Linked DNA regions of Rattus norvegicus. The protein of the gene in region 1 interacts with the protein of each later gene in a pairwise test. Links are inferred from orthologs where the notes say so. Each region holds a gene or a part of one and is shown in the gene's direction. Other genes may lie near its edges. The genes, in order: Pex5 and Acot8.

Region 1 (3,906 bases):
GAGTCTCCTGTTTAAAGTATTTCTCTTCCAAGAAGGCATCCTCTCCTCCTTGGTGTGGTTCAGTTTATTGGTTGCTAGGTTTTTTTTCCTTACAATGGCAGCCTGGAAACAGTGGACAGGTCTGGAATTTGTGGTCAAGGAGAATGGGGGTGTGTGTTAGGGCCTCTGAAAGATATTGACAGTGTACTAAAGACAGAAACATTGCACAATATTCTGCCTTGTTCAACCATTGTAGTTATAAGGGCAATTTCTATCTTCCCAGGGATGAATTTACACAGACTGTGTTCCCCGAGGAGGGCTACCTTTGAAATCTTCAGGGCAGCAAAGAACCAAGCTTTCCCGAGGGCGCCACCTACCTGCTTCTTCTCCCGCTACCCGGGCGGGGACCGTCCTGTCTCTCTAGAACCAGTTTCCTCCTAGCCCACCTACCAGCACTCTGAACCCGTCCCCTTCCTTCCCAGGACGTCAAGAGGTCCGTTGGTCTTGGACCTAGGTGATATATCAAGGTTTGTTTTCCAGTGACCTTGAGGTTTGGCACCGGCGCCAGTTCTCTGGCAGATGGTGAAGCCTGAGGCTTAGGTTTATATTCCCTGATCAAAGGTATTCCTTGCCACGTTTTCCCAACTCGGAGCTGCGGGTAATCAGGCCATCACGACCTTGACCAGTAGGAAAGAGGAGAGAGGAGTGACTCACTTCACTCTCCCCATCCATTACCGGCTTGAGGTCTCAAAATACGTTGGACCCTATTTTAGTCACCAGAATTTGTCATCATCCGGCGCTATTTTCTTCTTTACGCAAAAATGGTAGAGGCAGGCCCCTGTCTCCTTGGAGGCTGTGACGCTGTCTTGAAGGAGCATGTTGGAAGGGGGTCAGGCCTAGGAGGCCGAAGCAGGTCACGATTTGACCTCCGAAATCCCCCGGATTTAGAGGAGGAGGAAACCCAGGAGAGAGAGCTGAACCGTGGAAAACCTTGGTTTTCCTCTAAAACCAGAGAAGCCTCTCCTAGCTCCATTCCTTTGAGTTTTCCACTAAATAAATCCCAGCATTCTAAGGACTACTGGAGGACTCCCCAAACCAACTGCCTAGGACTTCCCCTTTAAGGCTCTCGGCTCCGCCCATCACGCTGCGCAGGTTTGAGGCCCCGCCCCTTCGCCCGTTTCCGTTGAGCTGGGCCGCAGCGCCGCGGTCCAGGCCCCTTTAAGGCCGAGTCCCTCCCCCTTGCTCCCGCCCCCTCCCCTCCCCCAGCCCACCCCAGGTACTCCGGCCGGCCGGACGGTGCGACCAGCGGCGGTGATCTTTGGAGCCTAGGGGGCGCGGGTCCGGGCAAGTCCCCGCCGCTGCGGTAGCCTCGTGGGGCGGGGTCGGGGCTGGGGTGACCGGGCTGGGGGCGCGGGGCGCGGGGCACGGGGCGTGGACAGGCGCGGCGGGGGAGGGGGCTCAGGTGACACGAGCTAAGATTGAGACCCGCAGCGCCAGCCTGACCCGGGGTGCGGGTTCCGGTGTGCGGTCGGAGGCGTTCCCGCTCTCCCTTGTCCGGTTAGAGTCGGTGTCTAGTGTTTACGATGCGTTACCCGTGCTCCCCAGGGGTCCAGGCCCGTTTGTAGAGCTGCTGCTGGCGGGTGGTGTCTGAGATGCGGTCCTGACGGCTGCAGGGGTAGCCCAAGCCCTGAAAGCCATGGCTTGGAGTGGGAAGACAGGAGGACACAGCCTCCTCTTGGACGCCAGACCCAGCTGGATGGGGTCCATCCAGGGGGTGGCCCTGGAGGCCTGGCCCTTGTGGAACCGTCGTGGGCCCACCTGCTCTAGATAGGGGCTGTTGGCTTGCTTTGGGAAAGTCTGGCTCCAGGACCACAGTTCTAATCTTCTGTCCATCAGGGAGCTGGTGGTCACCATGGCAATGCGGGAGCTGGTGGAGAGCGAATGTGGGGGTGCCAACCCGCTGATGAAGCTGGCCACCCACTTCACCCAGGACAAGGCCCTTCGGCAGGAGGGACTGAGGCCTGGCCCCTGGCCTCCAGGAGCCTCAGCGGCGGAAACGGTGAGTGTTCTAGAGCAGGAGAGTCCATTCCTTCAGCCTGGATAGCTGCTTTCTCTGTTGTTAAAGTAATAGTCGCCACTCCGTAACACTGGAGTGAGCATTGTGCATCTTTACACAGACGAGGACTAGTATTTTATAGACAAAGAAGCGGAGGCTTGGGCTGGAGAAATGGCTCAGTGGTTAAGAGCACTGACTGCTCTTCCAGAGGTCCTGAGTTCAATTCCCAGCAACCACATGGTGGCTCACAACCATCTGTAATGGGATCTGATGCCCTCTTCTGGTGTGTCTGAAGACAGCTACAGTGTACTTATAGAAATAAATAAATCTTAAAAAAAAATAAAAGAAGCTGAGTCTTTGTGAAGACTCTTTCTTGACTTACCTCAGGTCACCTAAGCAGTAGAGTTAAAGTTGGGTTGTAGCCTCTGGCCTTCTCACTCTGTGTATTGCCTCTTTCCTTCCTGTCTTAGGTTTCCAAGCCTTTGGGAGTAGGCACTGAAGATGAGGTAAATAGAACAAGGTTACTTCCTGTCTTTTTCTTTTTTTGACTCATGGTGATCTTTTCTTTTCTCTTCCTTTCTTTCTTTCTTCCTTTCTTTCTTTCTTCCTTCCTTCCTTTCTTTCTTTCTTTCTTTCTTTCTTTCTTTCTTTCTTTCTTTCTTTCTTTCTTTCTACCTTTATAAGCAGTCTATGCATACTTAACTCTCTTTACCGAATGAGATTTATTTGCCAGTGTTCCCATCTACTTTTTTGGGGTATTTTTCTGTTTTCCTAATTTACGGATAGAATTTTTTTCTTTATTTATCTGTAGTTTTTGTTTTTCTGTCCGACATCAGTGGGCCCTGCCCCTGGCTGAGGCCCCTCTGATCCTAATAGTTCATCTGACCGTCTCTCTGTAACAGTTGGTGGCAGAATTCCTGCAGGACCAGAATGCAACTCTTGTATCCCGAGCCCCTCAGACCTTCAAGATGGATGACCTCTTGGCGGAGATGCAGGAGATTGAACAGTCAAACTTTCGCCAGGCTCCTCAGAGAGGTGGGTTCAGGACCTGGTGAGAAGGGAAGAGGCCAGAAGAGTTTGATTTTGCTGGTGTCGGGGGAACTGAGGTGCAGAGGAGACAAGGGAAGTGTGGTCCAGGAGTGAGCGTGAAGGAATGATAGAAACCTGCTTTCTTTGTTTCTCACTCTTCTCTTGTTTCTCATAAGCCCCTGGTGTGGCAGACTTGGCTTTGTCTGAGAATTGGGCCCAGGAGTTTCTTGCCGCTGGAGATGCTGTGGATGTAGCTCAGGATTATAACGAGACCGACTGGTCCCAAGAATTCATCGCCGAAGTCACGGGTGAGGCTCCTGGGGAGATCTGTTCTGTGCGGTGTCCTCATTCTTCTTGGGAGGGTTCGACTGCTAATGACTTACAGGTTCTTGGTTCATTTCTGTAGGATGTTAAATGTGACTTCTTAGAGCAATTGCAGGTAATCAAAACATAATAAAGAGAAATGTGGGTTTGGGTGGAGATAAAAAGAGAGAGGAAGCGGGGAGGAGAGAATGAACGAGAGCTTAGAGCTGCCTCTTTATCAGTAACTTAAGTTGAGTAGAGAGGAGCTAGAGGTTGGATGGGTGGCCCAGGAAGAGAGAAATAGTTACCACGGCATCTAGGACTCTGGCATTCAGCCGTCTTGAGTAGAATTGGGATCTGGGGAAATAGATTGTGGAGTCCAGAGCCCTGAAGTCTGGCTAGGCCACCTGAGTGTGTGTGGGCTTCTCATCTGTAGATTGAACCAACTGTGGATAGAAAATGTTTGGAAAATTTTTGTCTGTACTAAAAGTATACACACCTTTTGAGTTTCTAGACAGCATCTCTGTAGTCCAGGCTGT
Region 2 (3,906 bases), on another chromosome or scaffold:
AGTGGAACTCCTAGAACTGGAGTTACAGGTGCTAATAATCCACCATTGGGTGCTGAGGGCAAGTGTAGAAAGTCCTCTTGACCACGAGCTGTCATTCCAGCCCCATTCGTTATTTTGGTATTTTAACCCATACTGGCTGCCAAGTCCAAGTAGCTCCTTAGGGACACTCATTCATCTTTACGTGTACCCAGGAATGACCCTGGACGTCAGAATGGAGCCAGAACACAGTCAGGTTCCATAGTCTGGAAAGTACTGTCCAAAGAGCTCAGTCGTGGGCTCAGACTTTGGTGTACTCTGACACTCAGTTGGCCTAGATATTGTAATTAAAACTTGACTTGACTATTGTAATTGACTTTCACATTGATTCATACAATGATTAGATTTCACAGCAAAAGTCTGGCCACATGAGCCTTCCTTTTCACAAGGGAGTCAGGGAGCCCTGCTTCTCATCTCTCTCTCTCCCTCCTTCTCTCCCTCCCTCCCCCTCTTCAGTTTTTCTTGGTTCTTTTTTTTTTTTTTTTCCCCCCGGAGCTGGGGACCGAACCCAGGGCCTTGGGCTTCCTAGGTAAGCACTCTACCACTGAGCTAAATCCCCAGCCCCCCCTCTTCAGTTTTTCAAGACAGGTTTTCTCTGTTAGCTTCGACTGTCCTAGAAGTTGCTCTCTAGACCAGGCTGGCTTCAAACTCACAGAAATCTGTCTGCCTCTGCCTCCCGAGTGCTGGGATTAAAGGCAAGCACCATCACCATCCTTTCCCTGTATTTTTTAAGAGCTGATTGTCTCAAACTCATGCTCCTCCTGCCTCAACCTTTTAGCACTGGGATTCTAAACCTGCACCCTTATCATTCTTTCTTTTAAAGTAAAACTAAAAGCTAAATTTATAGTAGGTTGTTTCACCCGAACCCTAAAAACACTGGAGCCTTCCCCAGCTTTTTAGCCCCTAGAGTCAAATGAGTCCGAGAACTACCATCAATAATTCTAACATTCATCCCTGCAGAGTAAAGAAGGCACCTGGGAAGCACCTTGGATAAGGAAGGTGTTTGAAAACGGCTGTATCTGGAGCTCAGGAATCATTTACAAAATCAATCAACGAAAAGAACCAACCAACCAACCAATGAGCACATTACTGCTTTGTAAACGGGAGACTAATGGAGGAAATTGCCAAGGCGTTTGGATTCACTCCCCGACAAGCTTTGTGCTTGAGAGAGATGCTCTCAACAAACAAACAACGGGGAAAAAAAAAACAAAAAAACAAAAAACAAAAAACAAAAAACAACAAGAGGCAGTTAACTGCGAATTCCCAGAAAAGCTTGTGAATGAAGGAGTGGGACCAAGCACAGCGGGTAGCCCAAGCCTAAGCCCGTGAGGTTTCCCTCGCTTTTCAGCAGGCGTGGGCAACGTGGCCCCATGCACGCCCTCCTCCTCCAGGCAGCCCTCCTCCCCACCCTCCTGCCCCGCCCTTACAGGATGTCCTCGCGGAAAGAGGTGCCGTTGTTGAGGTTATGGAAGCGGACCGAGACGCAGTCCCTGACAATGAAGGAGCACCTGGTCTCCTTTTTGTAGGCGCTGAAACACTCCTTGAAGTCCTCGTAGGTCTTAAAGCAGCTGCCTAGCTCCATGGCGGGGTACTGGCCCTCACAGAGCCCAGCCAGAATCACGCCAGGGGTCAGAGGTCACTGGGTAACGGCTGGCAAGGGCCCAGGTGTGGCCCGGACTGAGTGGCTTATTGGGAGCTTGGGAGGAGCCGGAGAAGAGACCGGTAACAGCAACCTGGGGGCGACTTTGCTCTGTGACAGAAGGGAAATGACACTCATCCCTTATTATTCATCTCCAATGCTCCGCCCCTTCGCTGATTCACCCAATCACACGCGGATCTCCTAAACTGGCACAAATAGTCTCCAATCTTAAAATAGATATGGCCACACCCACTCAGAAATTGACAAGCACAACGACCAATCAGAATCTGCGTCTCGCACACGGAAACCCTAGGGATTTCCGGCCCCTGGAGCGACCTGCCGGAAGCGCTGGGTGCCTATATAAGTTTCCGCGTTTCTCTCATCTGCAGCAAGCAGTGAAAATGTCAAAGCCAGAGGACCTAGGAGATGCTAATGGCGACGCCGACCGCGGCGACCTTTCCGGGGACCTGCGTAGTGTGCTGGTCACCAGCGTGCTCAACCTCGAGCCTCTAGATGAAGATCTCTACAGGTAGCCGGCGGCACCTCTAAACTAGGCTCGCACCCTTGTTTCAGTAGAGTCGCGATTACTGCCATCTCCCCGTGAACCTCAATTCTGGGGTTAAGAGTTCAGTGCCCGGTGCATGCTCTGCTGCAGTTAGAAGGCATGTCCCTGACATCCATCCTTGCTCTTCAGGAGGCGATCTGGGGTGGGGGGGAAGTGTGTGTGTAAGAGAGAGGGGGAGAAACAGAGACAGACAGAGATAGAGACAGAGAGACTGTTACTCTACAAGGCAGCTTAATCTGAGTCAATAAAGAAAGGGCAGTGATTTTCCCTGAGGGTAACAGCTGATCGGGGTGTGTGTGTGTGTGTGTTCAAGCCATCCCTGCATCATTAATTGGGGTCTGGTAAGTTATTACTTAACTTGGGGTATGTTTTCTTCCAGGCATCACTGAACTTGGTGATTGCAGAGTGGGTTTGTAACAATTTTTTGTTTTGTTTAGGGACAGGGTGTCACTAAATATAGTCCTGGATGACCTGGAATTCACTATAACCCATAGGGCTCCACCTGCATTTGCCTCCTAAATGCTGGCAGGAATTCACCATCAAGCCTGGCTGGTTGTTTTGTTTTGAGATAGGCTCTCTGTATAGCCCTCCCTGGCTGACCTGGAACTCTGTGTCATCCTGGCTGGCCTTAAACTCACAGAGATCAGGGTATCACTGCCTCCCAAGTCCTGGGTTCAAAAGGTGTGTGTCACCATGCTTGTTTAGTGACAGTTCTGACCTGTACAGTTATTATGGTTTTATCAGAAGCTATCTTTCTTCCAGCTAGATAATTACTGTCTTAGGGCAGGAGTGCTTTTCAAATTGTATTGTAATGAAAAAAGTGACAACCTCCGGGCTGGGTGCTAGGACTCAGGGTTCAGGCTCTAGCACTGGGCAAGGCCTTTCACCTAGAAAGCTAGACCAATGTGCATCTGCATTAAATTTCACAACCTCAGACTCTGACAATTAGACCTTTTTTTGGGGGGGGGGAGATAAGGGTAATCTCGGAGTCTTTTCAGCTCTGAAACCAGTTCTTGTAAGAACTGCCTTGTCAGGTTAAGGAGTGCCAATGGCAAGCCTTCATCATATGATCCAGCCCCAGATCTGTTTTTTGGAGTTCCTCACGTCTACTCAAAGCCTCAGTAAACTTCTGGTCTCTCCCTTTCCCTGGTTTGGGGTGGGGAAGAAGCTGTGGACTTGAAACCATCCAGGATTGGTAATGGTTGAGTTGTGTGGACTTGCTTCCTGTACTCCTGCTGTAAACGAGGGAGTTAGCTCGTTCTATTTGACTGAAGTCCACGGAAAACTCGGGTAGATGTGAAGACTGAAGGTTTATGCGGTGATGTCAGAGATGTGAGAGTGGACTCCTCGGCCTTGCTCAGGTTCTGAAAAAGGACCCAAATACCCTTAGATCCTTTTGAGGCTTATGGGGTTCAGAGCACCCTCAGTCTTTTCCACTTTCCTCTCCCCACAGAGGAAGGCATTACTGGGTACCTACCTCCCAGCGGCTCTTTGGGGGTCAGATTGTGGGCCAGGCTCTGGTGGCTGCAGCCAAGTCCGTGAGTGAAGACGTCCACGTGCACTCCCTGCACTGCTACTTTGTCCGGGCAGGTAAACCCCGCACCCTGGCGCCTTGCTTGCAGCCCCCCTTGGTGGCCCAGTGGTTACTTCTTGCTTCCTGGCTTTG

Evidence for each region.
Region 2: the proteins of Pex5 (region 1) and Acot8 interact in binary tests that used the Homo sapiens proteins (3 or more experiments, as listed by UniProt). The link is inferred for Rattus norvegicus from reciprocal best matches to the Homo sapiens genes PEX5 and ACOT8.

Annotation. Positions count from the first base shown.
Region 1 is NC_086022.1:158,979,980-158,983,885, reverse strand, and holds the start of Pex5 (peroxisomal targeting signal 1 receptor), read left to right. Parts: upstream 1-1,152; 5' UTR 1,153-1,342; intron 1,343-1,389; exon of another isoform or gene 1,390-1,536; intron 1,537-1,875; 5' UTR 1,876-1,891; coding exon 1,892-2,038; intron 2,039-2,505; coding exon 2,506-2,541; intron 2,542-2,937; coding exon 2,938-3,070; intron 3,071-3,240; coding exon 3,241-3,372; intron 3,373-3,906.
Region 2 is NC_086021.1:173,959,967-173,963,872, reverse strand, and holds the start of Acot8 (acyl-coenzyme A thioesterase 8), read left to right. Parts: upstream 1-1,684; 5' UTR 1,685-1,914; coding exon 1,915-2,204; intron 2,205-3,691; exon of another isoform or gene 3,692-3,693; coding exon 3,694-3,830; intron 3,831-3,906. Other genes in the region: Zswim3 (zinc finger SWIM domain-containing protein 3), read right to left, coding at 1,464-1,618. UniProt on the Homo sapiens protein: Catalyzes the hydrolysis of acyl-CoAs into free fatty acids and coenzyme A (CoASH), regulating their respective intracellular levels. Displays no strong substrate specificity with respect to the carboxylic acid moiety of Acyl-CoAs.